Linked DNA regions of Stegostoma tigrinum. The protein of the gene in region 2 purifies or fractionates together with the protein of the main gene of each other region. This does not show direct contact. Links are inferred from orthologs where the notes say so. Each region holds a gene or a part of one and is shown on either strand. Other genes may lie near its edges. The genes, in order: YLP motif-containing protein 1-like, ppp1cb, ccdc85ca and capzb.

Region 1 (7,547 bases), on a different chromosome or scaffold from region 2:
ATACACTGTCACAATAGCAGCCACCAAACAAATTATTCTTGAGGTATACTTTACCTCAATAGAGGAGAGAATTGCCTAATGATTGATGATCCTGTAGTCCACGAGAGTTTAAAGTGATGAGCAAGCAAAGATCTATGTAGTTTACAAGGATGTCACTAATTCCATGCAATCAGTCAGATTACAAGCATTACAAAGTATTTGTGGCACAAAAATGTAGCCTCAATATGTCATGTATGTTTTTGTGATTTCATATCTCTTCGTCATACCTCATCATCAGGTCATGCAAAATCTGTAGACAATGAAAGAAAGCTGTTCTGATGAGAAGTCCTTAATCTGTTTCTCTGTAGCTGAGCATTTCCAGTTTGTGTGTCTAGTATCCCAGTAATTTGTTTCTTTTTATCAACATATCCTTGTACTGCTTTCTTTCATGTGCTTATATAACTTCCCTTGAATGCTATTTTCTTCAACTACTTCCTGCATTTCCAAATTTCACATTCCAACTGCTCTTTTGATAAAGAAGTTAATCATGTATTTATTATTGTACAGTAATTCTCACATTTGTTTTAGCTATATTCAGCAGCATCTTTTATGAGAAACCAAGTTAATATTCAGGTCAATGATGGCTCTCCTTTAGATTCTTCATTGACCTGAAAGTTAACTGTTTCTCTACATAGATGTTGTTTCACCTGCAGATTATTATTAATAGCTGTGTTTTTATTTCAGCATTCTAGTATTTTGTTTTTGTTTAGATATTTGTGGCCTTGGCTGAGGTCTTATGATGAAAGATGCTTGATTCATATATGTATCATTTTTAGAGTTTGGATTTGAAAGTAGTGGCATATGGGCATTTTCTCCAGATTTACCAAAATTAGGTCAATCAGTGTTTCTCAAACATTGCTTAAATACAGTTTGTGTAAAGGAGCAAGGATACCTGTTAATGGATGTTTGTTTGTAAGATTTACTGGGAAAAGTTTATAACTGTGAGTGTAAACATTGACAGCCATTAGTTTGGTTTTGGTTTACGATAATCAAGGATTGATTTTGACTTCAGAACCTAGAGATGGAAACATTTTGAACAGTTTCTGAGGAGACCTGATTATCAGAAACACAATATAATTTCTCATCTCGAGGTATATAAAACGGGTAAGGAAATAAATTACCTCAGTTGAAATTTAGTTCATCCAACTTCCAAATCCAAGTGTGTTTGGTTAGAAATGGGCAGATTTTTAAAAATTGGGAAAATCTAAACTTTTAACTTCTGAGAAGATCTCACAGAACAGGAAAGAGTCAGTTGAGTATCACTTAAAGATTTGAAATTGAGGGGTATTTTCTAAGCTGTAAAGTGGCTGTTTTGGAAATAGTTGAGACATTTTGCCATGCGTTTTAGGATCATTTTTCAAAGAAGATATTGAGCTTTACTTTCTTCAGGAGGACTATTATTCATAGAGTTATTAAGAGATCTGGCTGATGAGGGATATCAAAGCTCTAGTCAGGAAAAAGAAGGCAGCATACATAAGGTTTAAGCTATTGGGCTCAAGTGAACCCCTAGATGACTATTAAACCTGTAAGAACACACTTAAGAGAAATCGGACGAGCAAAGAGAGGGAATCAGATGGATCTGGCAGATAAGGTTAAGGATAATCACAAGAGGTTCTCTAGCCATATTAAGAGTAAAAGGATGGCTAGGGAGAGAATAGGTCTCCTTAAAGATTAGCATGGCTGTCTATGTGTGGAGATGAGAGATTTTTAATGAGTATTTCTCCTTAGTGTTTACTGAGGAGAGAATCACGTGGTAAGGAAATAAGGGAAACAAGTGGGGATGTTTTTGCCCACATGTATATTATCAGAGAGGAGTTGTTTGCAGTCTTAAAGTGCATTAAATTCCCTGGACCTGATCAAGTCCATCCTCTGATGGTGTGTGAAGTTAAGGAAGAAGTTGCAGAGGCCCTTGCAGAGATTTTTGCTTCATCTTTAGCCACTGGTGAAGTTCTGAAAGACTGGAGGGTGGCTAATGTTGTTCCATTGTTTAAGAAAGGTAGCAAGACAAGCCATGGAATTACAGGCCCGTGAGCTTGACATCAGTGGTAGGCAAGTTATTAGAGAGGATACTGGGGGACAGGATCAACGAACATTTGGATAGTCAAGGCCTGATAGGGATGGCATGGATTTATGCGTGGGAAGTCATGTCTAGAAGATTTGTCAGGGTTTTTCTGAAGATGTAACCAAGAGGATAATTGAAGGTAGGGCAATGGATGTTGTCTATGTGGACTTTAATAAAGCCTTTGACAAGGTCCTGCATGGCAGGCTAGTCGTGAAGGTTAGGTTGCATGGGATCCACGGTGAGCTAGCTAGTTGGATTCAAAATTGGCTCGATGGCAGGAAGCAGAGGGTGATGGTTAAAGTTTGTTTTGCCGACTGGAGGCCTGTGACTAGTGGTGTGCCACGAGTCGATGCTGGGACCTTTGGTATTTACTTAAATGATCCGGATGTGAATGTACAAGACGTGATTACAGATGATACAAAATTAGGAGGTATCATTGATAGCAAGAAAGGTTATCAAAAATTACACAGGGATCTTGATCGGTGGGCTGAGGATTGGCAAATGCAATTCAATACAGATAAGTTTGAAGTGTTGCACTTTTGAAAGTCAAACCAAGGTGGGACTTGTACAATAAATGGTAAGGTCCTGAGGACTGTTGTGGAACAGAAGGACCTAGGAATACAAGCTCTTAGTTCACTAAAAGCGATGTCATAGGTAGACAGGATGATGAAGAAGGCATTTAGCATTCTTGCCTTCATCGGTTGAGGCACTGAACACAGGAGTTGGAATGTTACATTACAGTTACGTAAGTTGTTGGTGAGGCTGCACTTGGAGTATTTGGGTTTCTGCCTCTACCACCCTTACAGGCAGTGAGTTCCAGAATCTCACCATCCTCTAGGTGAAAATGTTCTTCCGCACATCTCCTATAAACTTCTTGCCTGTTTAAATCTATTCTGCCTGGTCATTCATCCCTCAGGGAGAAAAGTTTATTTTTTATCTACTCTATCTGTGCCACTTAGCTCAATTGCCTGGATGGCTGCTTTACAGGGCGGAGTAATGTTAACTGTGTAGGTTCATTTCCTGCACTGGTCGACGTTACCATGAAGAAGTCTCCTTCACAACCTCTCCCCTCACCTTAACTACAGTGACCGTCGGGTTAAGCCACAATCCGTTGTCTCTCCGGTGTAATCAACGGTCCAGTAAGACAATGGTGACTTTGTAAAAATATACACACCTCATAATTTTGTACACATCAATCGTCCGTTTCCAATCTCTTCTGCTTTAAAGAAAGCAATTGCTAGAAAAGCTCAGCAGGTCTAGCAGCATCTGTGGAGGCAGTTAAAATGTTAGGTTCCGTGACACTTGTTCAGATAAAAACTGACAGAACTGCGCAGGCTGTAAATCAGGAACAAAAACAAAGATGCCGGAAAAGCTCTTCAACTCTTTTTTGTCCTTCACAGATGCTGTCAGACCTGCTGAGCTTTTTGATCCTTCAGAACCCAATGTGCGTACCATCTCTTTTCATAACTGAAGGTCCCCAGGCCAGGTGACATCCTGCAGACGTCCGAGTTCTAACACTGTCTCTCCACATATGCCGCTAGACCTGCTGAGCTTTTGCAGCAATTTCTGTTTTTCTTCAGGATCTGTCAAGATCTTCCTTATTTTTCCGAATTAGCCCGTACAAAACTCTGGAAATGTTCCACCTCTGGTAGGACTTGAACCGGTGTCCTCATGTCAAGGGGGCAGGGACAGTGCGACTGCGCCACTAGTGAGTGCACCCCTTGCCGCAGCTTGTTGTGCCTGTAACAAAAATGGCGTTTCCAACCTTTCAAAAAGTCTTCTCGAAAATCATATTGACCATGCTGTCGTAAAGTAGACCAGAATTGGAACAAGAGATGGTGGGAACTTCAGATGCTGGTGAATCTGAGATAACAAGGTGTAGGGCTGGATGAACACAGTAGGCCAAGCAGCATCAGAGGAGCAGGCAGGCTCATGTTTCGGGCCTAAAGATTTTTGTTTTACTGAAGAAAGGTCTATCCCTGAAAGGTCAGCCTTCCTGCTCCTCTGATGCTGCTTGGGCTGCTGTGTTCATCCAGCTCTACACCTGGTTATTTCAGAAATGGAACATTCTGGCTTTTGCGACAGGAGCTGACGCACGATGCGTGCGCGGGGGAGCGTGACGCGATGACGTAGGAAGTCTGTGTTTTCTCTGGTTCTTCGTGTAATGGCGTTGGTCATCGAAGAATGAAGCAGAATCTGAAATATTGACCGCTAGTTGTGGCTATTTCGGCTCCGATTCGACAGGGCAGTCTGTCAGGATTTTAATAATACCCAATATATTTTACCCCTATCGAGATATTTTCGCTGGTTGAAGTTGTTTGAAGGAAGACTTTAGACCCGATGTATCCGTCATGGGGTCGGTATGGTGGGGGAGGGGCACATCTTCCGTATTATGGCGGAGCCGCTCAGCCTCCACTACCTCAAGGGCCTCGTGTGCCGGCACCAGGCATGGTGGTTGGCGTTGGCTCTACCCTGAGCCCAACCACCGTACCCCCGCCCGTTCCCAGTGCCGGTTTGGCATCCAATTTCCAGACGCTCAGACAACAGCACCTTCAGCAGATGCAGCAGCTGCAACAAATGCACCAGCAGCAGTTACAGTCGGTGCTGCAGCATCCTGCCCATCAAAACCTTCCACCTCCGTCCATACCACCACCACCATTGCCGCCTCATCTGCAGCAACCTCCACCGCCTCAGACCCTCTGGGACACCAGCAGTACCCAAAACCAACTAACTCAGACTAACCAACCCACTCAGCAACATCCAGATTTCTCCTCGGTGGCTTTACAGGTGAGGCGAACGAAAAGGAAACGACAAAACCATTTCAGACGTATTACTATTTAACAGGCCTTGAAATATACGCGCTGTCAGATATTAAGAAATGCGGAGATCAGCCAGGAACTAAAATTGTGAATAAAACAAATGTGGATGCTGGAGAAACTCAGCAGGTCTGGCAGCATCTGTGGAGAGAAAACAGGACTAACCTTTCAAATAACAGTGACTCTTCAGAACTGATGGTTAGAAAACAAATCAGAATTTAGTTGACTAGAAGTCAGACTGCATCTTAAGTAAATTTAAAAACAAAGTACTGCAGATTCTTGAAATCTAAAACAAAACAAAGTGCAGGTCCAGCAGCATCCGTGGAAACAGAAACAGTTGATGTTTCCATTCAGATTTGATATCTAATTTATTTTGTTGGAAATGTGAATGGGTTGTTGTAGAGCGTAGAAAACCTAGTTTATATTGCACTGATGGTTTTTGATCTCTCTGAAACCAAACAAGTCATGAGAAAAGTTGCAATAGTCTGATGTACCACCTACATGCAAAACTACCTGATTAGGTAGAAGGACAAATTTGTATTTTCCAGCTGGACATTAAGTATTGCAGGAAATTGTACAGATACCCATGGATTAGTCAGAGTATAATATTCCATGCTCTATAAGGTCATAGTGACAGAAAATGCACAAAAGGAGCCAGAATATGGATTGATTTCCGATTTCCCTTTTCTTGCCTTGTTTCTCTTCCACCAGTTTTACCTGATCGGCCAAAAATCCATCAGATTTTTTTGTTTTAAAGGCAGTTAATTTGGAAGCTTTGTGTGAGAGTGAATCAGATAGTTGGCCTTTTCTTGTTTTGGGAGATAGTCTAGTTTCTGATGGAATTGAAGATGGCATTGTTGACAATGATAATTCTTGTTTTGAATAATAGCCTGTTTTAATCTGGCATTAGATTTTTCTAGAGTCATCAAATTGTTGTCAGAAAGTTTCTGAATTTAGAAAGATGAGTGAATATGCTATGATAACCTAAAACAAACGTAGTGAAAAGCAAAGATAATGGGAACTGCAGATGCTGGAGAATCCAAGATAACAAAGCATGGAACTGGATGAACACAGGCCAAGCAGCATCTTAGGAGCACAAAAGCTGACATTTCGGGCCTAGACCCTTCATCAGAAAAGGGGGATGGGGAGAGGATTCTGAAATAAATAGGGAGAGAGGGGGAGGCTGCCTGAAGATAGAGGAGAAGATAGGTGCAGAGGAAAGTATTGGTGGGGAGGTAGGAAGGGGATAGGTCTTTCCAGGGAGGACGGACAGGTCAAGGTGACTTTCCATATCAGGCAGATGTTCACCTCCACATCCGCCAATGTGGTATACTGTATCCGCTGTACATGGTGTGGCTTCCTCTATATTGGGGAAACCAAGCAGAGGCTTGGGGACCACTTTGCAGAACACCTACATTCGATTCGTAGTAATCAACTGCACCTCCCAGTTGCAAACCATTTCAACTCCCCCTCCCATTCCTTAGACGACATGTCCATTCTGGCCCTCCTGCAGTGCCACGATGATGCCACCCGTAGGTTGCAGGAACAGCAACTCATATTCCGCTCGTGAACCCTGCAGCCCAATGGCATCAATGTGGATTTCACCAGCTTCAAAATCTCCCCTTCCCCTCACTGCATCCCAACACCATCCCAGCTCGTCCCCGCCTGCCTAACCTGTTCTTCCTCTCACCTATCCCCTCCTCCCACCTCGAGCCACACCTCCATCTCCTACCTACTAACCTCATCCTGATCCCTTGACCTGCCTGTCCTCCCCAGACTGTCCTATCTCCTCCCTACCTCCCCACCCATACTCTCCTCTGCACCTATCTTCTCCTCTATCTAACTTTGGTCCGCCTCCCCCTCTCTCCCTATTTATTTCAGAATCCTCTCCCCATCCCCCATTTCTGATTGGCCTAGGCCCGAACCGTCAGCTTTTGTGCTCCGAAGATGCTGCTTGGCCTGCTGTATTCATCCAGCCCCACACTTTGTTGTTATAGTGAAAAGCAAAGTTTTGTGTCTTGAGAAAGACTTGTGCCTTAAAGATATGGATCGTTTCATTTCTGAGTGCTAGTGAGAAACAATTTTGACAATCCCTTATTTGTGGTATCTTTTAGATGTAATACGTCATCTGGTGTGCAGCAACAGTGGGTGACAGTTGTCCATTGTCACTGAAGATAATTTAATAAACCTTGAATTGTTTGAGCTGTTAATCACCAGGGTTTACAGTACCATGTCTCTGCTGCAGGTTTTATTTCTATTTTTAAAAAAGTATTTCTCCAACTAAGGCTGAAGATATTCTTCTCATCTGTACAAAATAATCACGAAGCCTATTGCAATTCTTAGTGCAAAAGCTTATTGCTAGCTTGTTTTGTATCTAGTCAGTGATTCCTATGTTGATAGACTGACAAAGTACTGGCAAAGGTGTGTATATTTGGGTGAAATTGTGCAGTGTGTCTATCCTGTGAACTTAACTGCTGAAGATTTGTTCTTTTAGTTGATGTCACCCACTGATTGAAATTGGCAAATCTATGCACATAATTAACATAGCAAAAGTGTAAGAGTAGGCTGTTTGGCCCTACAAGACTTCTTTCACATTCAGTATGATCATGGCTGATCTTCTAATTCTTCAG
Region 2 (7,802 bases):
TTGAGAATGAAGAAATTCCAAATATTTGCCTTGATCACTTTCACTAGTGTATCATGGAACCAGGAGTTTCATGATGCTTCAACATTTCAAATTTGTCTTGAATTCCATGATGCTTTCTGAGCGTCAGTAGTTTTACGTTTAGATTCTGTATCTCCCTATGTGCCAATCTTCAAGTCTTCTAATAAATGACAGTCAGCCAGTGGAAGGCAGCAGTCAGAGGAAAACACTGCTGTGATATCAGTGGATCTGTCCATGAGTAGTTGAGACACAAATACAATAGCTGTTAGAGAAGGATGAAAACCCCTTACAAAAGCACAGACCATTTTTCAACTTTGCATGTTATCCTTGTGCAGGGGGCTATGATAATGTTCTCTATATCATTTCGATTTGGATTACTTGAGGCCAAAGCGAAAACAGTATTTTTTTTTCCATATCTCACTTCTTAGACACACACTTTTCTCTTCACTGCCTTCATGTGTTCTTAACGTACTCACCTGAATTTGACACATCAAACACAAGTCCAGACTGATCACAGCAGCGTGAATATAGAAACAGGAGATAGTCATTCAGCCTCCAGGGCCTATTCCACCATCTGCCATAGACCATAGGTGATCTGCATGTTAACTCAGTTTACCCACCTTTTGTCCGTATGTCACATTATGCTTGCATCAAATGATACTATGAATTTATCTTTAAAATTCAATTGACCCAGGAAATCAACTTCTCTCTGAAGAAAATTTGAGATTTACAAAAACCTTTCCATGAAAAAGTTTTTCCTGAATGCATTTTTAAATGGTTTTGTTCAACTAAGGAGGAGATGGCCTAGTTGTTTTATCCCTCCAAAAATTCTGTTCTGGGACATAGGTTTGAATCCTGCCACGGTAGTTGGCGGATTTTAATTCAATTTTATAAAAACCTGGAATTGAGAATCTACTTACGACCAAGAAACCATTGCTGATGGATGAGGAAAAAGCTGTCTAATGGCCTTCAGTGAAGGGAATCTGCCATTCTCACCTCATCTGGCCTACATGTTACTCCAGACCCACAACAATGTAATTCACTCTCAAATGTCCTCTGAAACAGCCTGCAAGCCAATAAGTTCAATGGTACTACAAACAGGCAACAAATGCTGGCTAGCCAGCAACATCTACTTCCCATGAGTGATCCAAAAAAAATTAAGATTAGCCCTTCTTGTTTGGAATTCTACACTGGAAGAAGTGGTTTCTCTGTATCCATCTTATTCAGCCCCTAAATTATTTTCATTGCCATAATTTGTTCTCACTAATAAGATCAAGGGTACATTGTCTAAGCTTGTGCAACTTACAAACCCTAGTTTCAGTGGCAGATTGGCTGAAGCACATGCAGAGATGGACAGCAAAGTATCATCAGTAGTGTTATGAAGCAGCACATGCTCAGTAATAAACTGCTCTGTGACGCACAGCTTGGGTTCCATCAAGGCCACTCAGCTCCTGACCTCATTACAGTCTTGGTTCAAATATGGACAAAAGAGTTGAATTACATTGCCGTTGATATCAAGTCTGCATCCAGCTGAGTTTGGCATCAAAGAACCCTAGCAAAACTCCAATCAATGGGGAACTCTCTACTGGTTTGAGTCATACTGGGCACATAGGAAGATGGTTGTGGTTGTTGGAGGTCAGTTAACTCAACTCCAGGATATCTCTGCAGGTGGTCCTCAGAGTAGTATCCTAGGCTCAGCCACCTTCAGCTGCTTCATTGACGCCCTTGCCTCCATCATAAGGACAGAAGTGGGAATGTTCATTGATGATTGCACAATGTTCAGCACCATTCAGGATTTCTCAGATACTGAAGCAGTCCATGTTCAAATGCAACAAAATCTGGGCTGACAAGTAGCACATAACATTCATGCCACACAAACGCCAAACAGTGACTGTCTCCTATTGGAGACAATCTAACCACCATCCTTTGACATTCAATGGTGTGACCATCACTGAATCCCCCACTATCGACATCCTGGAGATTAGCATTCACCAGAAACTCAACTGACTCACCACATAAACATAGTGGCTACAAGAGAAAAGTCCGAAGCTAGGAATATTTCAACAAGTAACTCACCTCCTGAATCCCCAACGCCTGTCCATCATCTACAAGCACTAGTCAGGAGTGTGATGGAATACACCCCACTTTCCTGGATGGGTACAGCATTCATTCCTTCCACCATCGACATCAGTTGCTGTAGTGTGCAGTATCTATAAGATGCATTACAGGAATTTGCCAAAGTTCCTTAGACATTGCCTCCCAAATCTAATAATCACTCACATGTGGAAGGGCAACGGCAGCAGTTACTTGGGAACACCTGCAAGTTCCCCTCCATGTGACCTACCATCTTGGCTTGGAAATATATCGCCATTCCTTCACTGTTGCTGGGTCAAAATCCAGGAATTCCCTCCCTAAAGCCATTGTGGGTCCACCTACAGCATGTGGACGACAGCAGTGCAAGAAGACAGTCTACCACCACATACTCAAGGGCAACTAGGGACAGGCAATAAATGCTGGCTCAGCCAGTGCGGCCCATGAAAACTTGAAGGAATTAAGGGGGAAGAGTTGATTGCCTTCTACCATTTTCAGACATGGGGTATGGAGGTGAATGAATGGGGTGGCACGGTGGCTCAGTGGTTAGCACTACTGCCTCACAGCGCAGAGATCTGGGTTTGATTCCAGCCTCAGGCAACTATCTGTGCAGAGTTTGCACATTCTCCTTGAGTCTGCATGGGTTTCCTCCCATATCTAAAGATGTGCAGGCTAGGTGGATTGGTCAAGCTAAATTGCCCATAGTGTTCAGGGATGAGTCGATTAGGTTGGTTAGAGGGGGATGGGTCTGGGTGGGATGCTCAAGAGGGCCAGTGAGGACTTGAGTGGCCTATTTTGACACTCTAGGGATTCTATAATGATTTCCATTTAGCTGCATCCACTCCTGTTGAGGCAGCCAGCACACACACATTGTGTTGCTTTATCATTTTAATTATTACAGCATAAAGATTGTGAGCTATTATGCTGCTGGTTGAATGTTCAGAAATTAATCTCAGTTGGTAATCATGAACCACCCAACTGCAATGAAGGGATTCTGTCTTCCTCTTCCACGCTTCCACTTGCTTCCCTTCCTCATGTTCATTTCAAGGTAGTCTCCAGATATACGGTGGCAAGGGCTTTGTTTCTCATGATAATGATGATGGGCTGAATGCCTTCCCTATTTGCTGTAACAATTCTGTGACACAGAGGACTCTTGGACGCTTGAACTTTTGAGTACTTGAGGGGTCCTCTGAGCAATCGAGGCAGGGTAATCATTGCTTTAGTACACCACTGATCTTCTCTCTGATGTTCCCATGTTGGCAGCATGGAACTCATCGCCAGCATTTTCTCCATTCACACCTTAGGGCAAAGAGAGCCATGTGCCCAAATGATATCGCTTGTTTCCAAGTAGACAGGTGTGTTGTGATTGCATAAAGAACAGTGGGAAGATCTGACTGCTGCAGGATGAATAAGTTTTGGCTGCTGACAGGATACCAGGTATTTACCAAAATGATATTTTAGACATTGCAGCAAACCAATGTTTTCGTGAAATGTTAGCTCTTGACATTTCCCTGTTTAGACGTACGGCCCACAGAACCACATACATGCGCAGTCAATGACACTGCATTGTTGGAAAATGTGGTAACCTAGAAATGCCAACTCTGTCCATTTCTGCTAAGATAGAAACAACAGCGTCCCTCTCCTGGACTATATGATCTCTGTCAACTTACTGATGTAATGGTAAATGCTAAACTGGGGAATGTTAACTATTGGGATTGAGATCAGAAGAAATTTCTTCACCCAACAAGTGATGAGCTTGTCGAATTCTACTACCATAGAAAGCAATCAAAGCCAAACATTACAGAGATTGTAGGAATTGCCGATGCTGGAGAATCTGAGATAACATGGTGTGAAGCTGGATGAACATAGCAGGCCAAGCAGCATCAGGGGAGCAGGAAAGCCTTCCTGCTCCTCTGATGCTGCTTGGCCTGTTGTGTTCATAAGGCCAAACATTACATGATTTCAAGAAGGAATTCAGTACTGGGTAGAGCTAAAGGGGTATAAGGATATGGGGGAAAGCAGGAACTGGCTACTGAGATAACAAAGTGAGGAGCTGGATGAACACAGCTGGCCAAGCAGCATCTTAGGAGCACAAAAGCCGACGTTTTGGGCCTAGACCCTTCATCAGAATTGGATGGTCAGCCATGATTATGATGAATGGTGAAGCAGGCCCAAAGGGCTGAGTTAATGGGAACTGCAGATGCTGGAGAATTCCAAGATAATAAAATGTGAGGCTGGATGAACACAGCAGGCCAAGCAGCATCTCAGGAGCACAAAAGCTGACGTTTCGGGCATGTCCCTTGACCACAAGGACTGCAATGGATCAACTTTTCGCGGGCTATTAGGGATGGGAATACGCGCAGGCCTAACCAGCAAAACACATATCCCATGAAAGAATAAAACAAAAGCATCCTATGAAGGCCAGAATGTTCCACAGACTTCCCTGTAAGGAGGAAGCAATACTTGTTCAATGAGCAAACATTCTCATTCACTTTTGCCCTCTGTTGCCGTGTTTATCCCAGTACTGATAGGGTTACGCAGTGAAGAAGCTGCTCTCCTCCGCTGTTGTGTTTTATTCCAGTACTAGCAGGGTTACTCAGCGAAGAAGCTGCCCTCTTCTCTCCCTCTCCGTCGTTGCTGTGTTTTATTCCAGTGCTGACAGGGTTACTGAGTCCCCTCCTCTCTCCCTCCTCTACCGCTGCCCTCGGCTGAAGACTGCTGTAAAATGGCGGACGGAGAGTTGAATGTGGACAGTCTGATAGCTCGGCTGCTGGAGGGTGAGTCGCAGAATCAGTTGGAAAACAGCCTTTTGCTTTTTTTTAAAAAAAATCGTTAATGGTCCCCGGAACAACCTTAGATAACGTTTGTTTGATTTGCGAGGGATCCGGGTTTTTGCATTTCGAGAGGTGGCTCGAAGAAACAGCTCTTCACGGGATTAAAACAAACGCCTTTCCCCCGCCGCCGGTTTTTTTTTGTTAGAATTTGGAATGGTGTCGTTTGAGACGGAAAACCTTTGTACGATTTCGTTATAAAAACACGGAGGGATAGGTTTCGTTTTACCTGAGTGTGGCCTGTTCGGGCTCCGGAGCCTCGGCGTTGTGCTGCTGACAGGGTGGGCGGACGGGCGATGAGGGAGCCCAGGAACTCGGCGCCGGTTTAACCGACGACAATTTCAAATGGTTCCCAACCGCCTGCCTCTCGTGAGGGTGGAAATTGAGTTAGATTTTTTTTCAATTCGGAGTCAAAAGCATTTCATTTATAGTATTCAAAATATTGTAATATTACCCAGAGTTTTTTTTGAGTAAATCTCTTTTTTTTAATAAAACGAGTGAGAATTTTTTTTCCATTTAGGCATCTCTATCGGATCACGGTCTTGTAAAACATTTTAAATATTTAGCTTTGCAAGTTTGAAGGCCTTTGTTCTTTTCCAAAGGCTTGGATTCGAGTTAGTCAATCCCGGCAAGTTTCTATTTGCTGCATTTAGTTAGTGACTAGTAAACGTTTAATTATCGTATCTTTCGTTTGTGAGGGAAACTTTTTTGTCTTTTGATCCTCGTGTCTCCTTGGGGTGTGTCGTTTACTCTCTCATAGTGTTACGGTAAGGAAGGCCGTCGTTGTAGATCTCCTCAATCCATTCCTTACAAGGAGCCTTTCACTGGCTCTTGCCTGATGTCAACTATCTGAAAATATTTCATGTGTTCTTGCTTGTGGGTGTGTTTTTCTGTCCCAGCAGCAACTAGATTACATTGCCCATTTTTCATTCCGAGGAAAAAGGCTATCCCTCATTCCAGCTTAGTTCCATCTCCAGAAGACAATGGACACAGTAAACAAATTAATTTAAGATGGGGATGTAGTGGACCTTTCACTGATGGCTGAATAAGCCAATTTTTGAGAGGCAAGTTCTGCCACAAATGCCAGATATGGAGCTAGAGCATCATTGTAGGTTGATTTTGGTGCTGGTGGCTGTTCCCAAGCTGCGGTAGCCTTGGTCATCGTGGTACCAATTGGATACATCAATGGCTTAACAACAGGAGACACAATATTGGTGGAGGGTTACTTTTCAGACTGGAGGCCTGTGACCAGCAGTGTTCCACAGGCATTGGTCTTAGAACATAGAACATAGAAAAATACAGCACAGTACAGGCCCTTCGGCCCATGATGTTGTGCCGTGGAATGATCCTAATCCCAAAATAAAATAACCTAACCTACATCCCCCCAATTCACTGCTGTCCATGTGCATGTCCAGCAGTCGCTTAAATGTCACTAATGACTCTGCTTCCACGGGCAAAGTATTCCATGCGCTCACAACTCTCTGGATGAAGAACCTCCCTCTGACATCTCCTCTATACCTTCCTCCTAACACCTTAAAACTATGACCCCTCGTGGCAGTCAATCCTGCCCTGGGGAAAAGTCTCTGGCTATCGACTCTATCCGTGCCCCTCATTACCTTGTACACCTTGATCAGGTCACCCCCGCTTCCTCCTTCTCTCCAGAGAGAAAGGTCTGAGCTCCAAATTGGGTCCAATTTTGTTTGTCATTTGTATTAATGATTGGGATGAGAATATAGAAGGCACGGTTAGTTTCTTTTTAATTCATTCACAGGAGAGGGTGTTGCTGCTAGGCAGCATTTATTGCCCAACCCTAATTGCCCAGAGGTCAGTTAAGAGTCAGCCACATTGTGGGTCTGGAGCCACATTAGATTCTTAATTCCAGATATTTATTGAATTCAAATTCTACCCAATGTTATCTGGGTCCAGCAATAATAATGGCATTGTAGACAGTGAAGAAGGTTTTCTCAGATTACAGAGGAATCTTGATCAAATGGATCAATGGGGCAAAAAATAATGGCAGATGGAGTTCAATCTGGATAAATGTGAAGTATTGCATTTTGCTACAACAAACAAGAGTGGGGAGAATGGAGACAACAAGGTGTAGAGCTGGATGAACACAGGCCAATCAGCATCAGAGAAACAGGAAAGCAGACGTTTCGTGTCTAGACCCTTCAGAAATGGGGGAGAGGATGGGGATTCTGAAATAATTAGGGAAAAATGGGGAGGCGGATAGAAGATGGATAAAAGGAGAAGGTACGTGGAGAGGAGACAGACAGGTCAAGGAGATGGGGTAGGAGCCAGTAAAGGTGAGAGTGGGTGGGGAGTTGGGGAAGATTTAGGTCGGTCCAGGCAGTACAGGCAAGCCAAGGAGGTGGGATGAGGCTAGTCGGTAGGAGATGGGGGTGGGACTTGAGATGGGAGGATGGAGAGGTGGGAGGTCAGGCTAGGGAAGTGGGTACGAGCTGGGCTGGCTTTGGGATGTGGCTGGGGAAGGGGAGATTTTGAAACTCGTGAAGTCCACATTGATACCATTGGGCTGCAGGGTTCCCAAGTGAAATATGAGATGCTGTTTTTTGCAACCTTCGGGCGACACTGTTGTGGTACTGCAGGAGGCCTGGGATGGACGTGTAGTCTAAGGAGTGGGAGGGGGAGTTGAAATGGTGAATGGAGACCAGTCACTAATGGTATTCTGCAGTGATCAGTCTGAGGTTCTCTGTTGTCTGTATGTATAAATGATCTCAAGAAAAATGTGGGTGATCTGATTAGCAAGTTTGCAGATAACACAAAGATTGGTGGAGTTGCTGTTGGTGCCAACGATTGTGAAAAGATACAGCAAGATGTAGATTGGCGACTTGGGCACAG
Region 3 (7,930 bases), on a different chromosome or scaffold from region 2:
CACTCTTCTTTTTATATGTTTGCCAGGGCTCCCTGATTTGATCAGATTATCAGCTCCAGTCAGGGAACTCATATTCTATGAGGTCCAATTGGCTTACCTTGTTCCAATAACTACCACTCTCCTATTCACGCCGCTGTGTAAATGTCTTTTAACTGTTGCAGTTGTACTCCCCGCTTACCGCTTTCTCTGGTTGCTTGTTCCATATATGCACCGCCCTCTGTGTGAAAAAGTTGCCCCACAGATCCGTTTTAAACCTTTCCCCTCTCACCTGAAACCCTCTGGTTTTGGGCTCTCCAACCATGGGGAAAACACCTGGGATATTTACTTTATCTCTGCCCTTCATGATTTTTTAGACCTCTATAAGATCATCCCTCGGCGTGCTATGTTCCAGAGAAAAATGTCCCAGGTTACCAGCCTCTCCTTATAACTCAAACCTTCCATACCCAAGCCTCTCCTTATAACTCAAACCTTCCATACCCAAGCCTCTCCTTATAATCCAAACCACCCAGTCTGGGTAATATTCTTGTAAATCTTTTTGCACCCTTTCCTTTTTAATAACATCCTTCCTATAACAGGGTGACCAGAATTGTAAGGCAATACTCCAAAGCAACCTTACCAATGTCTTGCACAGCAATAAAATGACATCCCAACTAAGGCTCAGTGCTTCATCAGGCCAACCACATAATGTTAAGGAACTTTTAAATCAACTTTAGTCTGGAATGGGCTGGCCACAAAGTCCACCTGGCAACATTAACAACAAACTCAAAATGCTGGAGAAACTCAGGTCTGGAAGCATCTGTGAGGATAAAGCCAAGTTATCATTTCTTGTAAAGGGTCACCCGACTGAAAATGTTTTCTCTGCTTTCGGTCCACAGATGCTGCCAGACCTGATGAGATTTTCGGGCAATTTCTGATTTCCAGCACCCACGGTTTTTATAGAATAATTTTTTTTGGCAACTTTAATATGTACATTTCAATTTCACGCATGGTGTGCTGTCAAACTTTCCATCCCTTAACTCCATCCACACTTCCCAATGCTTCGGAAGGGCAACCAACGTCGATGACCCGTCCCAGCCCAGTTAGAGGTCCAACCTCTACTGCGGGCAGACCTTGAAACACCTGGTATCAACAGGCTCAAGAACAGCTTCTTCTCCACTGTTAGTAGGCTTCTGAATGGACCTCTCAAATTTCAAATCTAATGCTGATCTTGCTTTTGGCGCACCATCTTTGCAGCTGAGCGTATGTGGCAAATAAGGGTTAATTCTAATGCTAATTCTAAAAGAAAAATCCAATTCCTCGCTCTGTTCAATCACCCTATGATCTCTCTACGTTATGACCTGCATGCAAAAGAAAACTTTCACTAAGGTTAAGTGCAGGTGAATAATAAATCAAGACAAAATAGCATATCAGCAGGAAATGTATGGGGGGGGGGGCTATTGAAAAGTTGAAAATGTGGCCGCTTATCACCCAAATCCAGGCAACAATAAAACTCCAAAGCTTGGTCCCTGGTTGAACTTTTAGTAAAGATACAAACAGGATGGAGCGTTGACATTAAAAAAGGGGGTACAGGTTGCAGGGACAAATGCTAATGTGTTAAAGGAACGGGACTTACCATTCAGTCCGTTGGGGATGCTCCTATGATGGGGGGCTCCCGAGAGGTCATCGGTGGACCTTGCGACGGGGGCAGGGCCCTTGTCCCCAGCCTTGTGGTGCTGATGGTGGTGGTCCGGGCTGCCGGCACTGCCTGCGCTGGACGTACTGCTGCCGTCTCCCACGTCCCTGGTGGCCGAGCCCCCATTCAGTTGGATCAGGCTGCTCTGGCTGTCGATGGAGTTGCGGCTGCCGGCGCCGTGCCGCTCGTCGTCCAGCATGAGGGCGATCTCTCTGAGCTCCCGGTTGTCCTGGAGTAGCGCCTCTTGCTTGGCTTCCAGCTCCCGCAGCTTGTGCTGCGAGGCGCTCACCTCCTTCCAGACGGCGGCCGCGGCGAAGCGGCCGAAGCGCTGCCACTCGCGGGCCAGCCTCTTGCCCTTCTGCCGGTCGTCGTCCAGGAAGCAGCAGAGCTCGCGGAGCTCGTGGTTGTCGTCCTGGAGCCGCTGGTTGATGTCCTTCAGGCCGCGGATCTCGTGCAGGTGGAGCTGCAGCCGCCGGTTCACGTCCTTGATCAGGTTGCCGTGCTCTAGCATCAGGCTAATCCTCTCCTGCTCGCTCTTCCTCAGCCTCCTCACCAGCTCCGCTTTACCCCATTTCACCAACTCCTCGTCCGGGATCTTGCTCAGGTCCTCCCTGGAGCCGTCCGGCGAATTTTTCGCCATGATCGCCCCAGAAGCAAAATCAGTCCCGATAATTTGCAACTAAAATCGGCTCCCAATAATTTGCAATCAAAACTGACTCCCAATAATCTCGGTATTATAAACCCTTCACTTTGCAAACCTCCTCCTGTTGGAACAGCACCAGCTCATGTTTGACCCTGATCAAAAATACACTCTCCTCCACCTTTTCCCTCCTACTTGGGCAGTCACTTTTATCTTTAGGCAGAGGTGGAATGGTTTCCCCAACTGTCTAGTAGAATGTCTGCCCCTGTCTGTGTGTGTGTGTGTGTGTGTGTGTCTGACAAGGCACGAAAGACTTCAATAAAAACGATCTCAGTTTCCCAGCTCAGTTCCAGCGTCGGTCTGTTTTATTCAGCGGGTCGGGGGGGGGGGGGAGCCTTTTTCCTGACCGGCAGTGCAGTGCTCAGATTTCCGGCCTGCCTGCGGTTGGCTCTTCAAACACAAACACACCGTGATGTCAAACCGGTTTGTCATTCTGTTTTCTGCGGGGAGAGGAGAAGCGAGCGGCGCATTTCTGTCGGAAAAGGGAAATCCTGTCGAACATGGGGCGGGATGATAGTCTACCTTCTCTCCCTCTCTGCCTTATTCACGCCCCAAGATCCACATTCACTCCCTGTCGGATGCACACAAAAGTGCAACTGGTTCCTACAAACCCGATACCCGGTACACAAAGAACTTTCGCTTCTCTGCACTCACATTCTCTCTCTACTCCCAGGAGAGCAGCTGCCACGGAATGATGGTGCAAATTATTCCACACTCCCACCGCGGGGTCCAATCGAAGCGAAGGCAAACGGAATTAAAAAGCAGGTAGCTAGAGGCTTGTGTGTCACGGACACATGCACAGGTCGAGCCTCCACGGCACAGGCTACGCTTTATCACGTGAGGCTAGAAGTTTACATACGATTGTATCACCTATGGGCTCACAGCCTTCCCTACCTGGGAGCAGACACCACTTTCCAGTCAGTTGTGTAATACAACATTCCAAGGTTCACGACTGGCTTATGAGGCACTCACTAAAGCCTGGGGAAGGTGGGCATTGCTAAGGTCTGTCACAAAAAAAAACATGAGGAGGAAACAAAACAAAAATTGGCGGAAAAGCTCGGCAGCTCTGGCAGCATCTGTGCAGAGAAATCAGACCTAACGTTTCGGGTCCGGTGACCCCTTCCTCAGTTCTGTTTTTATTTCTGATTTACAGACGCCACAGTTCTTTTCAGTTTTTTTTTTCATAAAACATGAGAGTGCTGTTTCATTTCCACACACCCTGGTAGCCTAAATGGGAATGTAAGTAATTTCCTTCCGTGTTTAGAATATGCCTTTTTTTGTTGCAACTGCATTAAAGCTTGAATGAGGAATGTCGAAATTCCAATGTATTTTCTGCAAAGTCCGTACGGAACCGTTTCTTGAGGAAAAGAACTGCGGATTCTGGAAATCAGAAACAAAAACAGAAATTGCGAGGAAAACTCAAAGCTATGGTAGGATCTATGGAGAGAAAACAGTTCGAGCCCAGTGACTTTCTGAGTTTTCCCAGCAATTTCTCTTTCTATGTATTTGTCTTCACTTATAGATTAGATCATGTATGAATATTTTTGCAGAAGAAACTCAGCAGGTCTGGCAACATCTGTGGAGAAAGAGCAGAGTTAATGTTCCCGGCCCAGTGACCCTTCCTCAGAACAATTGTGTGTCTGATGTAGATTAAAGCTTGGAAGGGTGTAAGAAGCAGATTCAGTTCAATTCGATATATACCTGAGAGAAATAAATAGAGCCGTTGTCTGCTGGTTATCACAGAGAAATTAAAGTGGGCGATATTACTTGGGAACCAATTCTCTACTGATGTACAATTTTAAACTCAACCAGCAATTATTTACCAAGGTCTATTTGTTTGTTAAGTTCGAGGTCATGCAGTTCAATGATCATTTTATATCTTTGGGAAGACTGAAACCCTGCGGGGAGGTAAGAGGCTGTAACTGACACGACGAGCCTGTCTGTCGCGCTCTCTCTCCACGCCCCCACCCCCTTCCTTTCAACGTTGTCCTGTTCACTTCTTGAGTCGTGTTTCCTGCAGTTACAAGAAAGGAAATGGTGTGAATAGAAACCGCGCAACCCCCCCCCCCTTCCCCAATCAACAGCATTCTGCGTTACATAATGCAGTTTCGACTTGAGATCTTTGAAACTTTTTGTACAAAGATTGGGGAGGCGAGGGTGTCCGGTCTGACCATTTCATTTCGAGCTGTTGCTTGGGGATTATTTGCTTCATTTTTGGATGGTGTGTCATATGTTTGTGTCCAAAATTTCACCCACACCCCCAGGAGTTCGGGCCGGTTCCCCTCCATGCAAGACACATGTGTTTTCACCAGTCTCTATATTGAAGAATTTCAAACTGGGGGATACCATTCCCCTATTCGGAGTCACCGGACCCGAAACGTTAACTCTGTATTTTCCTTCACAGATGCTGCCAGATCTGCCGCGCTTTGCCAGATTTTGTTCCCATTCCCCTATTATCTGCTACTGGAATGTGCTTCAACATAGTTTTACTTCAGATGAGTTTCGTGGGAGGTGATTGAAAAGCGCACAGCCCAGAACACAATGGGGAGAATCCCATTCGCGGATCCAAATGCGATATCAGGCCAGGATTTGAGCTGGCACTTGTTTTGCACCTAAAGATTTAACCTCAGCGACGATGTGGAACGCACCGGGCCCCAGATCGAGAGGAATTGAATAACCATTAGATTCGGTCCAGCTCCATACGGTTCGCAAAGGGAAAGCGCGGAAACACTGAGCGGGATGGTCACTTTTTACACCATGATTCCTTGCCGGAATTGGACAGAACGAATGGGAGGCCGGAAAATGGTAAATGCACAGCTCAGGGAGTTGTCATGTTTCTCCATCACATCCACGCAGACGATCTCATTATTCTGTCCAGTTGTCTGGCTTTGATCGAATCTCCGGATCATACTTAAGAATTTGACAACATTTTTTCGTGCTGCAACAAATCCTACAATGTCAAAATTCCAACAGAGATAATCATTATCCTGGCAGCACAGATCTGCCTTGTTAGAATGCCCATTTAAAAGATAATTTCAGACGCAAAGTAAACTTCAGTTTCAGTGTCCTAGACAGCGGACATGATAGACTTTTACCCAGATTCCACTTCGGTAAAGATTACAGTAATTTTTTTCCGTTATGTGGGAAATGGTCATTTAAGAATTAGGCTTTCTTCATTCTTAAAGCCACCGCCTGGCCATTGTTTTCAATTTCCTGTCACACACCTGCAGCTGTTAGTTTGCTGACTGATCCTCCGCCTCAGATAACGCTTGGCTAGAGAAATACATTAGCCCTTCTCTAGCCTCTTTGCTCCTTCCTGCATAGTACCCATCATCAGTCTGTCAAGTCCAAAGGTTGTAACTTCAGGCATGTTTGATACAGAAACTAAAAAAAAATTGCTGGAGAAACTCAGCAGTCCTTGCAGCATCTTTGTGGAGAAAGCAGAGTTAATGTTTCAAGGCAGGTGACTCTTCTTTGGAATTGATAGCAGCTAGGGAAAAGTGGTATTTATGCCAAAGATGATATGGGTGGGTGAGCAGATGGGTGGAGATGGAATCCAGAAAAACGGAGATAAAAGGGGAATGCAAATGTGTGGATTATTGATAGTAAACCAGGATACAGGTCTGTTTTAGGCATTATCATTAGATCAAATCCAACCCCATTAACATTAGAGATAATGGGAACTGCAGATGCTGGAGAATCCAAAATAACAAAGTGTGGAGCTGGATGAACACAGCAGGCCAAGCAGCATCTCAGGTGCACAAAAGCTGACGTTTCAGGCCTAGGCCCTTCATCAGAGAGGGGGATGGGGTGAGGGTTCTGGAATAAATAGGGAGAGAGGGGGAGGCAGACCGATGATGGATAGAAAAGAAGATAGGTGGAGAGGAGAGTATAGGTGGGGAGGTAGGGATGGGATTGGTCAGTCCAGGGAGGATGGACAGGTCAAGGAGGTGGAATGATGTTAGTAGGTAGGAGATGGAGGTGCGGCTTGAGGTGGGAGGAAGGGATGGGTGAGAGGAAGAACAGGTTAGGGAGGCAGAGACAGGCTGGGCTGGTTTTGGGATGCAGTGGGGGGCGGGGATGAGCTGGGCTGGTTTTGGGATGCAGTGGGGCCGGGGACGAGCTGGGCTGGTTTTGGGATGCAGTGGGGGAGGGGAGATTTTGAAGCTGGTGAAGTCCACATTGATACCATTGGGTTGCAGGGTTCCCAGGCAACATCAGTCTCCACAGTGTGAAACAAACACCGACTAATCAATTCTTTACTGCGTGTAACCAGGGATGTGAGATAAAGCTGACTATCTGGAATTCGCTTTTTAAAAATTCAGTCACATGACGTAGGCATTGCTGGCTAACCTAACATTCATATTCCATTCCTAATAGCCCACAGGACAGTTGACAGTCAACAGCATTGATTTGGGTCTGGAGTCACATGTAGGCCAGACCAGGTGAGTTTCCTTTCATAAAGGACATTAGTGAATCAGATGAGATTTTCCTGACAACTGTTTCATGGTCATCTTTAGCAGATGAGTTTCTGTACTGTATGACTCAATGAGTCTATTAGACTCTTAATTCCAGATTTTTTTTGAGTTTATAGGCCACCATCTGCCGTTGTGGGACTTGAATCTAAGTCCCCAGAACATTACCTGGGTTACCATATTAATAGTCTAATGATTATACCATCACCTCCACTAACTCGATTAGTGACAATCTCATTGAATGGCCGAACAGTCAGGAGGAGTTAAATGAACAATTCCTAAATAATTGAGGGCCTTGCCTACACTGTAGGGGTCATGACCAGTTTTAATTCTCCTGCTCTTCACTCAAATGTACCCCTCCAACAAGAGATCCTTGTCCTGATCAAAACCTGATCTTGTATCTTTTTCTCCTGTCTCTTTATTCTCCTGATCCTCCATCACTGACCCCTGCCCAATTCATCCAAATCCTTTCGTCAATGCTGATCAACCTGATGTAAATTTCCAGCCTTTGTATCAGTTGCATTATTAATAGCCTACTTATAATTCACATCGAAATCCATGTATGTCAGTTTGCAGTATAACTGATAAATTCAACAAGACCTGAACCAGGATACTTTCTAATCAATGATAATAAAATGTGAGGCTGGATGAACACAGCAGGCCAAGCAGCATCTCAGGAGCACAAAAGCTGACGTTTCGGGCCTAGACCCTTCATCAGAGAGGGGGATGGGGGGAGGGAACTGGAATAAATAGGGAGAGAGGGGGAGGCGGACCGAAGATGGAGAGTAAAGAAGATAGGTGGAGAGAGTGTAGGTGGGGAGGTAGGGAGGGGATAGGTCAGTCCAGGGAAGACGGACAGGTCAAGGAGGTGGGATGAGGTTAGTAGGTAGCTGGGGGTGCGGCTTGGGGTGGGAGGAAGGGATGGGTGAGAGGAAGAACCAGTTAGGGAGGCAGAGACAGGTTGGGCTGGTTTTGGGATGCAGTGGGTGGGGGGGAAGAGCTGGGCTGGTTGTGTGGTGCAGTGGGGGGAGGGGACGAACTGGGCTGGTTTAGGGATGCAGTAGGGGAAGGGGAGATTTTGAA
Region 4 (8,380 bases), on a different chromosome or scaffold from region 2:
ATGTTGCAGGGCAACCCCATTTTAACAGAAGAGCAGGTGCACCCTCACACACCCAAACATATGACATAGCTTCTTGTCCAAGCTGCAAAAGTTATATTTCACACCAAGTACGAAAGACAAGGACAACAAATGAAGGAGACTAAGCATTCTCAATAAAGATATGCATCCTAAATTTCCAAAACACCACTGGAACGAAGGCTTTGGGTACAAGCCCCTTTCAGAGATTTGACAACATAATCTCAGTTGAGGCTCTAGTGTAATATTGATGCAGTATCATACAGCAAACTTTGTTTTAACTGGCCCCTTATCTACCAGCACTCTTTATAAACCACCAACCCTCAAATACTGCAATCTACATTGATGTCTGAGTATTTATGCTCTTAATAACATATAACAGCGGTACGTATACCTCACATTACATTTATGCTACATACTACGTGTTTTTACACTGCGTTTAGAAGGTTTGTTGATGTTTTTACATCGTTTTTTTTGAGGCATATTGATGTCTCGAAGCTTCACTTGGTCAGAGTTTAATGCAGTATGCATATCTCTTGATTATATGGAATATTTCCTCAATCGCCACACTCCCATGCTGTATGACTCTATGACTCCTGGTCCCACTGGTGCCAGTTAATAAAGTTTGCTGAATTTTCAGATGAGATGTCAAACCATGTTCATACAAGTCTCTGGCATGGGTGTAGAAGATCCAATGCAACATTCTCTCAGAACACAGAGTATGCTTCGTGTCCAGGCTAGTATTTATCCTCAATTCTCATTACTAAATCAGATTTCTGATGGCAATCACATTGATATTTGTGGGGCCTTTGTATATGCATATAATGTAGAATATGTGGCAGCCAATAACAGTAACTGTTTTTCAGAAGTTATGCATTGACAGTAAATCACTTTGGAACATTCCATGGCAATGAAAGGTGCATTAAATTGCAAGTTCCTTCTTTCAATCTATTCTTCCTTGACCCTCTGAGTTACTGATTTTAGTCTCTATGTATGCAACATCCTTTGGTTCTGCACATCAAAAGGTTGGTGGAACAAGAGGGAGGATTATTCCCAAGTCAACTCGCACCTGAAGAAGGGTTTCAGAGGGGTACTTTCAAAGGCAAAGAAGCAAATTGCTTGTTCATATTCATCATTTTTAAAGCAAGGTTAAGTACAATCAGGTGATGATAAAAACAAAAAACATTTCATATGCCTCAAGATCAATAACTTAAAGGATCTATTCAAAGAGATGCTGTCATGAGACTTAAATGCAATATTCAGACAACACTGCAGACTTCAATACTGTGCAAGTCCTTGATTATCATATGAAACTGCTCTCACAACAAAACTACTTATAACAGCTAGTACATTAAAGAAGTGTCATAAACTCTGAAATTCCTCCAACACAATCCAAGTTTGAAAGAAAACAGAATCTATATTTTTACTACTCAAAGTGCAAACGGTCTGAAAATGTCACATTTTACGCAATCATTGCTTGAATATTTCTGTTACAAGGGGATCAAAAGCACAACAAGTTTCAATCAGTCTATGCAAAAGCAATAAAACAAAGCAAGGGATTTTCTGAATTCAAAGATTTCAGCATTTCTTTAGAAGCATCAGAAATGAGAACGAGGTCATGCCAGTTACCCAGGCTAAGAGAAATGGAAGTTTGTTATTGACTAATCTGACATGTATTCAAGTCACATAAAATAAAACAGTGCCATAGCTTGGTTTGAGTTGAGATCTGGAGACTAATTCACAATCAACTTCTTGATAAAAAGGCTCATCAGCAAATACAGAGCAGCAATTAGTCATTTGGTCTACAAAAAGACCTTGAGACCAAGAAATTGAGACACGAATTGATATTTTGAGATTAGATTGGTTAAAATAAATGAATAAAGGATTAAAACTTTTCCCAATGCAATCTATTCAAACAGTTCAGAAAACAGATCATGCAAGATCTTGAAAATTACAATCCTCGTCTAAACCCAACAAATGAATAACACAATCTGTCAAAAGATAACTTCCTCATTTCTACAGTGAAATGCCTCTGATGTGCCACCAATGAAGATAAATCCAGGAGGCAAAACGACACCAAGTACTTTTTAGTATTACAGATAGAAAAATTAAAATCGCTTAAGTGTTCAAATATATACATATCTGACTCTCAAACTAATCATTCCACCAACAAGCGTTAGTTTGAAAGTGCTATTATCTTTCATTGAACAATAATAAATATTAGAAAATAGATTTGGTTTAAGGAAAACCCAAAAAAGTATGATCTTCTACTGTAACCAGTTGTAAACTAATCTCTGGGTCTGAAAATTTATTTTGTTAATCACTCAATTTTCACCACTGTGGAGTAGCATCCATCTAAACTCCATTTAATAGCTTACAATTTCAATGCAAGGGCGCTCAATAACTTTGTCCTGCGTTGGACCGCATTTCCTTTAAGATGCACAATTGGGGAACCCTGAATTCACAACAATCTGACATCAAAAAGGAATCCAACTGCCTTCAGTGAACGTCCGTTGAATGGTCAGAGGATCATAACACCAAAAAAAATTGCAACACAAGACTTGAATGGACTATCCCAACTAGGACACTGGCGCAGGTTGAGGTTGTGACAGTCCAGAAGACCAAAAGCTCACAGTTGATCTTCCCTCCCTCCGTCAGTCAGATCTGGTCTGGTCTGAATGAGGAACAGTATTTGGCAGGAAGTTTGCCTCCACTTTACAGCAAGGCGCGATGTGGAGAGAGAGGATAGTTGATCGCTACCCCAAGGAATCAACAAGATAAACTGAAGGGCAGCTGGATTTAGGAACCGTTACCGGGAGGTGAGCGGCGATGCAGACACAGGGCCGGGTCGGGCCGAGCAGTCCTCCCGCCCCGTGTCTCCTCTCTACCTCACCCCGTTGGCTAGCCGGATCTAACTCGCGGCGTCCTCCATGCGAGGACCAGCTGAAAAGAGGGTCCTGTGTCGGGAAGTGGGGCTATGAATAGATAGGGCTTGCCCCGGGACCAGGCGATACTCACCATGGCGATGGCGGTGGTGACGGTTGGCGGCGGCACTCTCGCGGACGGTTTCTTCGTCGGGCCCGAGCGATCATCCGGGTCACGCAAACAACCCGCGCTCAACCAATCAGCGTCCGAAGCTGCAGCTTGCCCAAGTATGGGCCTTGCAATGCGGAAGTGGTGCTCCAGTAGATTCTCTCCCCTCCTCCCGCACGACTGTCAATACCCTCAATGTCTGCATACCACCCCTGCACTGTCAATTCCCTTACTACCTGCACATACCCCACTGATCGTCAATGTCTTCACTATCTGTACACTCCCCAGTGCACTTTCAATATCCTCAATATATACTCTCCCCACTGCACTATCAATACCCTTAATATCTGCACATTGATCAGGGCACTGTCAGCATCTGTACACTTCGCAACGCACTATCAATATTGATATTAATAGTGCAGCAGTATTAATATCCTCAATTTCTGCATATTCCCCACTGCACTATCAATATCTGCACACTCCCCATGGCATTATCAATGTCTGTATATTCCCGAATACATTGTTAATGCCCTCAATAAATGTACACTCCCCCACCCCCACACTGCCAAAATCTCAATATCTGCACCACTGCACTGTCAATATGCTCAACATCGGCACACTCCCTGCTGCAGGCTCAATATTCTTAATACCTGAACATTCCCCAATGCACTTTCAATATCCTCAATATATACACACTCCCCACTGCATTGTCAATATCCACAACATGCACATACTCCCCACTGGTGTCAATATTGTCAATTCCTGCACAATCCCCAAAATGCTGTCAATGTCCTCAATATCTGTACATTCCCTGCACACTATCAAAATCTCAATATCTGCATATTCACCACTGCACTGACAATATCCTCAATATGTGCACACTGCCTGCTGCAGTGTCAATATTCCCAACACATGCATACACTCCAGTGCACTTTCAATATCCTCAATTTATACATTCCCCACTGTACTGTCAGTGTCCTCAATTTCTGCACACTCCCCACCGCAGTGAATATCCTCAATATATGCATACTTCCTGATGCACTGTCAATTGTCAATATTTGCATTATTCCCTCTACACCATTGACGTACTCAATTTCTGTGCACTCCCCCAATGCATTGTCAATATCCTTAATAAATGCATTCTCTCCAATGCACTGTCAACTGTCAATATCTGGACAGCCCCCACTACACTGTCAATGACCTCAATTTCTGCACACTCCCCAATACACTGCCAATATCTGCACAGACCCTACTGAACTATCAATATCTCAACATCTGCACACAGTCTTCAATGCACTGTTCTTATCCACAATATTTGCACACTGTCTGCTGTACTGTCAGTATCTGCACACACCCCACTTCATTATCAGCATCCTCAATATCCACTCACCCTCTTCCCATTTAGGTAAAATATTGTCCATTCATTCTCCAACGTCCTTGAATGTGTATATAACACTTACATTTATTTTTCATACAACTGTTTACAGTATTCCTCCCTTCAGAATTCTGGCACTGCCAAAGCACAACAACAGATCTAACCAATATGCACAAACTGTACTTTTGGTGATTAGAACATGATATTTTATCTTTATACAACTTCCATTACTTGGTCATAATGGACAAGGTTCTTCTCTCAGGCACTGGAACAATTCCAACAAATTGATTATTGGGAAATTAATTTAGTGCAGATTAGGAAACAAATAGGGTGACACATTGGCTCAGTGATTAACACTGCTGCCTCACTGTGCCAGGGATTCAGGTTTGATTCCAGCCTTGGGTGACTGTCCATGTGGAGTTTGAATGTTCTCCCAGAGTCTGCATGGGGTTTCTCCCACAGTCCAAAGATATGCAGCTGAAGTGGATTGGCCATGCTAAATTGGCCTGTAGTGTCCAGAGATATGCAGGTCAGGTGGTCAGCCATGGTGAATGCAGGATTGTGAGGATGGGGTGAGATACTCTTCAGAGGGTTGGTGGTGATTTAATGGCTGGATGGCCTCTTTCTGCACTGTAGGGAGTCGATAATTTGTTTTCGTCTTCATGACTGTGGACCACACCACAGAAATCCAAGGAGCCAAAATAAATCACTTTAATTCACCACTCTGAATAAGTTATGTTTTAAATTATAAATATTAAATTGTAAATATATATTTACCATAAAAAAGAATAAGACATATTACAAACCCACTTAAACACACAAAGCAGTTTATTTTTGGTGTAACATATGTTTTAATCCTCATCCTAATTCAGTCTTCACTCACCATTTACACACTTTCTATAACAGGAAGCATAGGTTAGATTTAAGAATAGCATATAGGGGCATGAGAAAACTGGAAGCATTTGTTGTAAATATAACTGTGCACAGTAAGAACATTTGGTGATATCAAGTTCAGCTTTCATAAGTATGTCAATCTTCTGTTAGGTTTCATGTTTCAATATTTTTGGAGGGTTACACTTAGAGATAACTGAAAGGAGAAGTGAGATTCTCCAACTGGCATTTAGTAGAAAGGAAAATGGCAATACATTAGGGTTACTATTGACTATTGTTATGGTCCCTGTTATGAGAATCCTGGACAAACTTGTTGTTATTGTGATTTGGCTTCATTGGCCAACATCTTGTAAAAAAAACAGAATGATATCAGAAAAAAAAGCACAAAAGAAAGCAGCAGGATACCAGGATTGAACTGAAACACCAAAAAATGTTCATTATACAAAGTTGAACAAAACTAACCTAAGCGATAATAACTAAAATAGGTACAATAAAAAGGTAAGATAATTATTTTGCATCATATTTAAATTTAGACGCCAGCATTCAAGATTAACAAATGCATCAGTTAACGGAGAAACAGTAGTTGAGTACCTCATGGATTGCACTATAAGCAACTGATGCAGTCAAGTCAGATTCCACCCAGATGTTGGAAACATTGTAGGCTGTCAAATCTCATCAAAATTGTCTCTTTTACAAGGGATTCCAATTCTTCATTTTCAAATATCTAAATGTGGGACACAGTTAAAGCCTCTCCAATTTGGACTGTGTCAAATTCTGCTCATGTCTTAGTAGTTCAATTTCTTCTCCTATGACAGAGCATCATAGGCACAGAGCTGTACAGCATGGAAACAGACCCTTCAGTCCAACTCATCCATGCCAACTAGATAACCTAAATTCATCTAATCCCATTTGCCAGTACTTGGGCTCATATCCCTCTAACCCCTCCTACCCATCCATGTACCCATCCAGATGTCTTTTAAATGTTGTCATTGTACCAGCCTCTACCACTTCCTCTGGCAGCTCATTCCACATACCTACCAACCTCTGAATGAAAAAGTTGCCCCTTAGATCCTTTTAAATCTTTCCACTCTCATATTATACCAATGCTTAAATTGTTTTTGACTCCCTGGCTCTGGGAAAAGTACCTTGCCTATTCACCCTATCCATGCCTCTCATGATTTTATAAACTTCTAGAAGGTCAACCCTCAGCCTCCAATGCTCCAGGGAAAATAGCCCCAGCCTATTCAGCCTCTCTGTAAAGCTCAAGCTCTTCAACCCTGATAACATCCTTATAAATCTTGCTTAACCCTTTCAAGTTGCACAACATTTTTCCTATAGCAGGGAGACCGGAATTGCACATGGTATTCCAAAAGTAGCCAAACCAATCTCCTGTAAAACTGCAACATGACCTCCTAATTCTAATACTCAATGACCATTAAGGGCAAGCATACCAAATGTCTTCTTCACTACTCTGTCTACCTTCAGCTCTATTTTCAAGGAACTATGAACCTGTACTCCAAGGTCTCTTTGTTCAACAGCACTCCGCAGGACCTTACCACTGAGCGTATAAATCCCGACCTCATGTGCTTTTTCAAAATGCAACACCTCACATTTACCTAAATTAAACTCCTTCTGCCACTCCTTGGCTCATTGACCCATTTGATCAAGATCCCATTGTACTTGGAGGTAACCTTTTTTGCTGTCCACTGTACCACCGATTTTGAGGTATTCACCAACATCTTTTCAACCTTTCCCTCCTACAAGCCGAAGTCCCCACTTTCTTCAAGAAGACTACCATCATCCTCATACCCAAGAAAACACTTGCAGTGTGCCTTAATGACTACTGCCCAGTGGCTCTAACTTAAATAATCATGAAGTGCTTCGAGAGGCTGGTCACGGCCCAATCAACTCCAGTCTTCCAGCCTGCCTCGATCCCCTACGGTTTGCCTGCCAACATAAGATCCACAGAGGATTCCATATCCCTAGCCCTGCACTCATCCACGGAACACCTGGACAACAGAGACACCTATGTCAGACTCCTGCTTGCTGACTGCAGTTCTGCCTTCAACACCATTATCTCCTCCAGACCGATCTCAAAACTGAGTGACCTTGGTCTCGGCCCCACCCTCTGCAACTTGTTCCTCAGCTTTCTGACCCACAGGGTGCAATCAGTGAGGATAGGTAACGGCATATCCTACACAATAACACTCAACACTGCAGCCACGCCAAGAGTGTGTCCTCAACCCCCTACTGTACTCCCTGTGCACCTACAAAGGTGTGGCGAAATTCCCAACCAGTCAAAATACAGATGGGAGGTAGAAGGCTTGGGGATGTGGTGCAATGAAAACAATCTGTCTCTCAACATCTGCAAAACTAAAGAACTCATCATTGTCTTCAGAAAGAAGGGAGGGGAACATGTCCCCATCTACATCAATGGAAGTGACGTTGAGTGGGCTTACAGCATCAAGTTCCTTGGAGTGACAATAATTGACAGACCTGTCCTGGACTTCCCACATAGATGAGACAGTCAAGAAGGCACAACAACGCTTCAATTTCCTCTGGTGACTCAGGAAATTGGCATGTCCATAAGGTTCCTTATCTACTTCTACAGATGCATCAATGAAAGCATACTGTTTGGGTGCATAACAGCCTGGCATGGCAACTGTTCTGCCCAGGATCGTAAGAAACTCCAGAAGGTTGTGTGCAGACCATCACGCAAGCCAATATTCATTCCATGGACTCTGTTTACACAAAGTGCTGCTGCAGAAAAGCGGCCAACATCATCAAAGACTCATTGCACCCTGGTTATGACCTCCTACAACCACTTCCGTCAGGCAGAAGACACGGAAGCCTGAACACACGCACATGCAGGTTCAGGAACAGCTTCTTTCCTGCTGTTATCAGACTGCTGAATGGATTCTAGCCTCAAATAATGTAACCTGTATGCCTCTAAGTCTCTTTGATCTGTACATCCTTTGCTTGCTGTAATCTACCTGTACCGCTCGTAAAGAAAGCTTTTCACTCTATTTCGGTACATGTAACAATAGAATCAATCAATCAACTGGT

What was found.
Region 1: the proteins of ppp1cb (region 2) and YLP motif-containing protein 1-like purify together in Homo sapiens (affinity purification with mass spectrometry; 3 studies listed by BioGRID and IntAct, with this or other methods). This does not show direct contact. The link is inferred for Stegostoma tigrinum from reciprocal best matches to the Homo sapiens genes PPP1CB and YLPM1.
Region 3: the proteins of ppp1cb (region 2) and ccdc85ca purify together in Homo sapiens (affinity purification with mass spectrometry; 3 studies listed by BioGRID and IntAct, with this or other methods). This does not show direct contact. The link is inferred for Stegostoma tigrinum from reciprocal best matches to the Homo sapiens genes PPP1CB and CCDC85C.
Region 4: the proteins of ppp1cb (region 2) and capzb purify together in Homo sapiens (affinity purification with mass spectrometry; 3 studies listed by BioGRID and IntAct, with this or other methods). This does not show direct contact. The link is inferred for Stegostoma tigrinum from reciprocal best matches to the Homo sapiens genes PPP1CB and CAPZB.

What each region holds. Positions count from the first base shown.
Region 1 is NC_081363.1:17,203,515-17,211,061, forward strand, and holds the start of YLP motif-containing protein 1-like, read left to right. Parts: upstream 1-4,223; 5' UTR 4,224-4,441; coding exon 4,442-4,888; intron 4,889-7,547. UniProt on the Homo sapiens protein: Plays a role in the reduction of telomerase activity during differentiation of embryonic stem cells by binding to the core promoter of TERT and controlling its down-regulation.
Region 2 is NC_081357.1:18,405,489-18,413,290, forward strand, and holds the start of ppp1cb (serine/threonine-protein phosphatase PP1-beta catalytic subunit), read left to right. Parts: upstream 1-4,749; 5' UTR 4,750-4,834; coding exon 4,835-4,886; intron 4,887-5,169; exon of another isoform or gene 5,170-5,264; intron 5,265-7,802. UniProt on the Homo sapiens protein: Protein phosphatase that associates with over 200 regulatory proteins to form highly specific holoenzymes which dephosphorylate hundreds of biological targets.
Region 3 is NC_081363.1:18,244,853-18,252,782, reverse strand, and holds the start of ccdc85ca (coiled-coil domain-containing protein 85C-A), read right to left. Parts: upstream 3,221-7,930; 5' UTR 2,313-3,220; coding exon 1,613-2,312; intron 1-1,612. UniProt on the Homo sapiens protein: May play a role in cell-cell adhesion and epithelium development through its interaction with proteins of the beta-catenin family. May play an important role in cortical development, especially in the maintenance of radial glia.
Region 4 is NC_081381.1:30,770,036-30,778,415, reverse strand, and holds the start of capzb (F-actin-capping protein subunit beta), read right to left. Parts: upstream 3,187-8,380; 5' UTR 3,037-3,186; coding exon 3,034-3,036; intron 1-3,033. UniProt on the Homo sapiens protein: F-actin-capping proteins bind in a Ca(2+)-independent manner to the fast growing ends of actin filaments (barbed end) thereby blocking the exchange of subunits at these ends.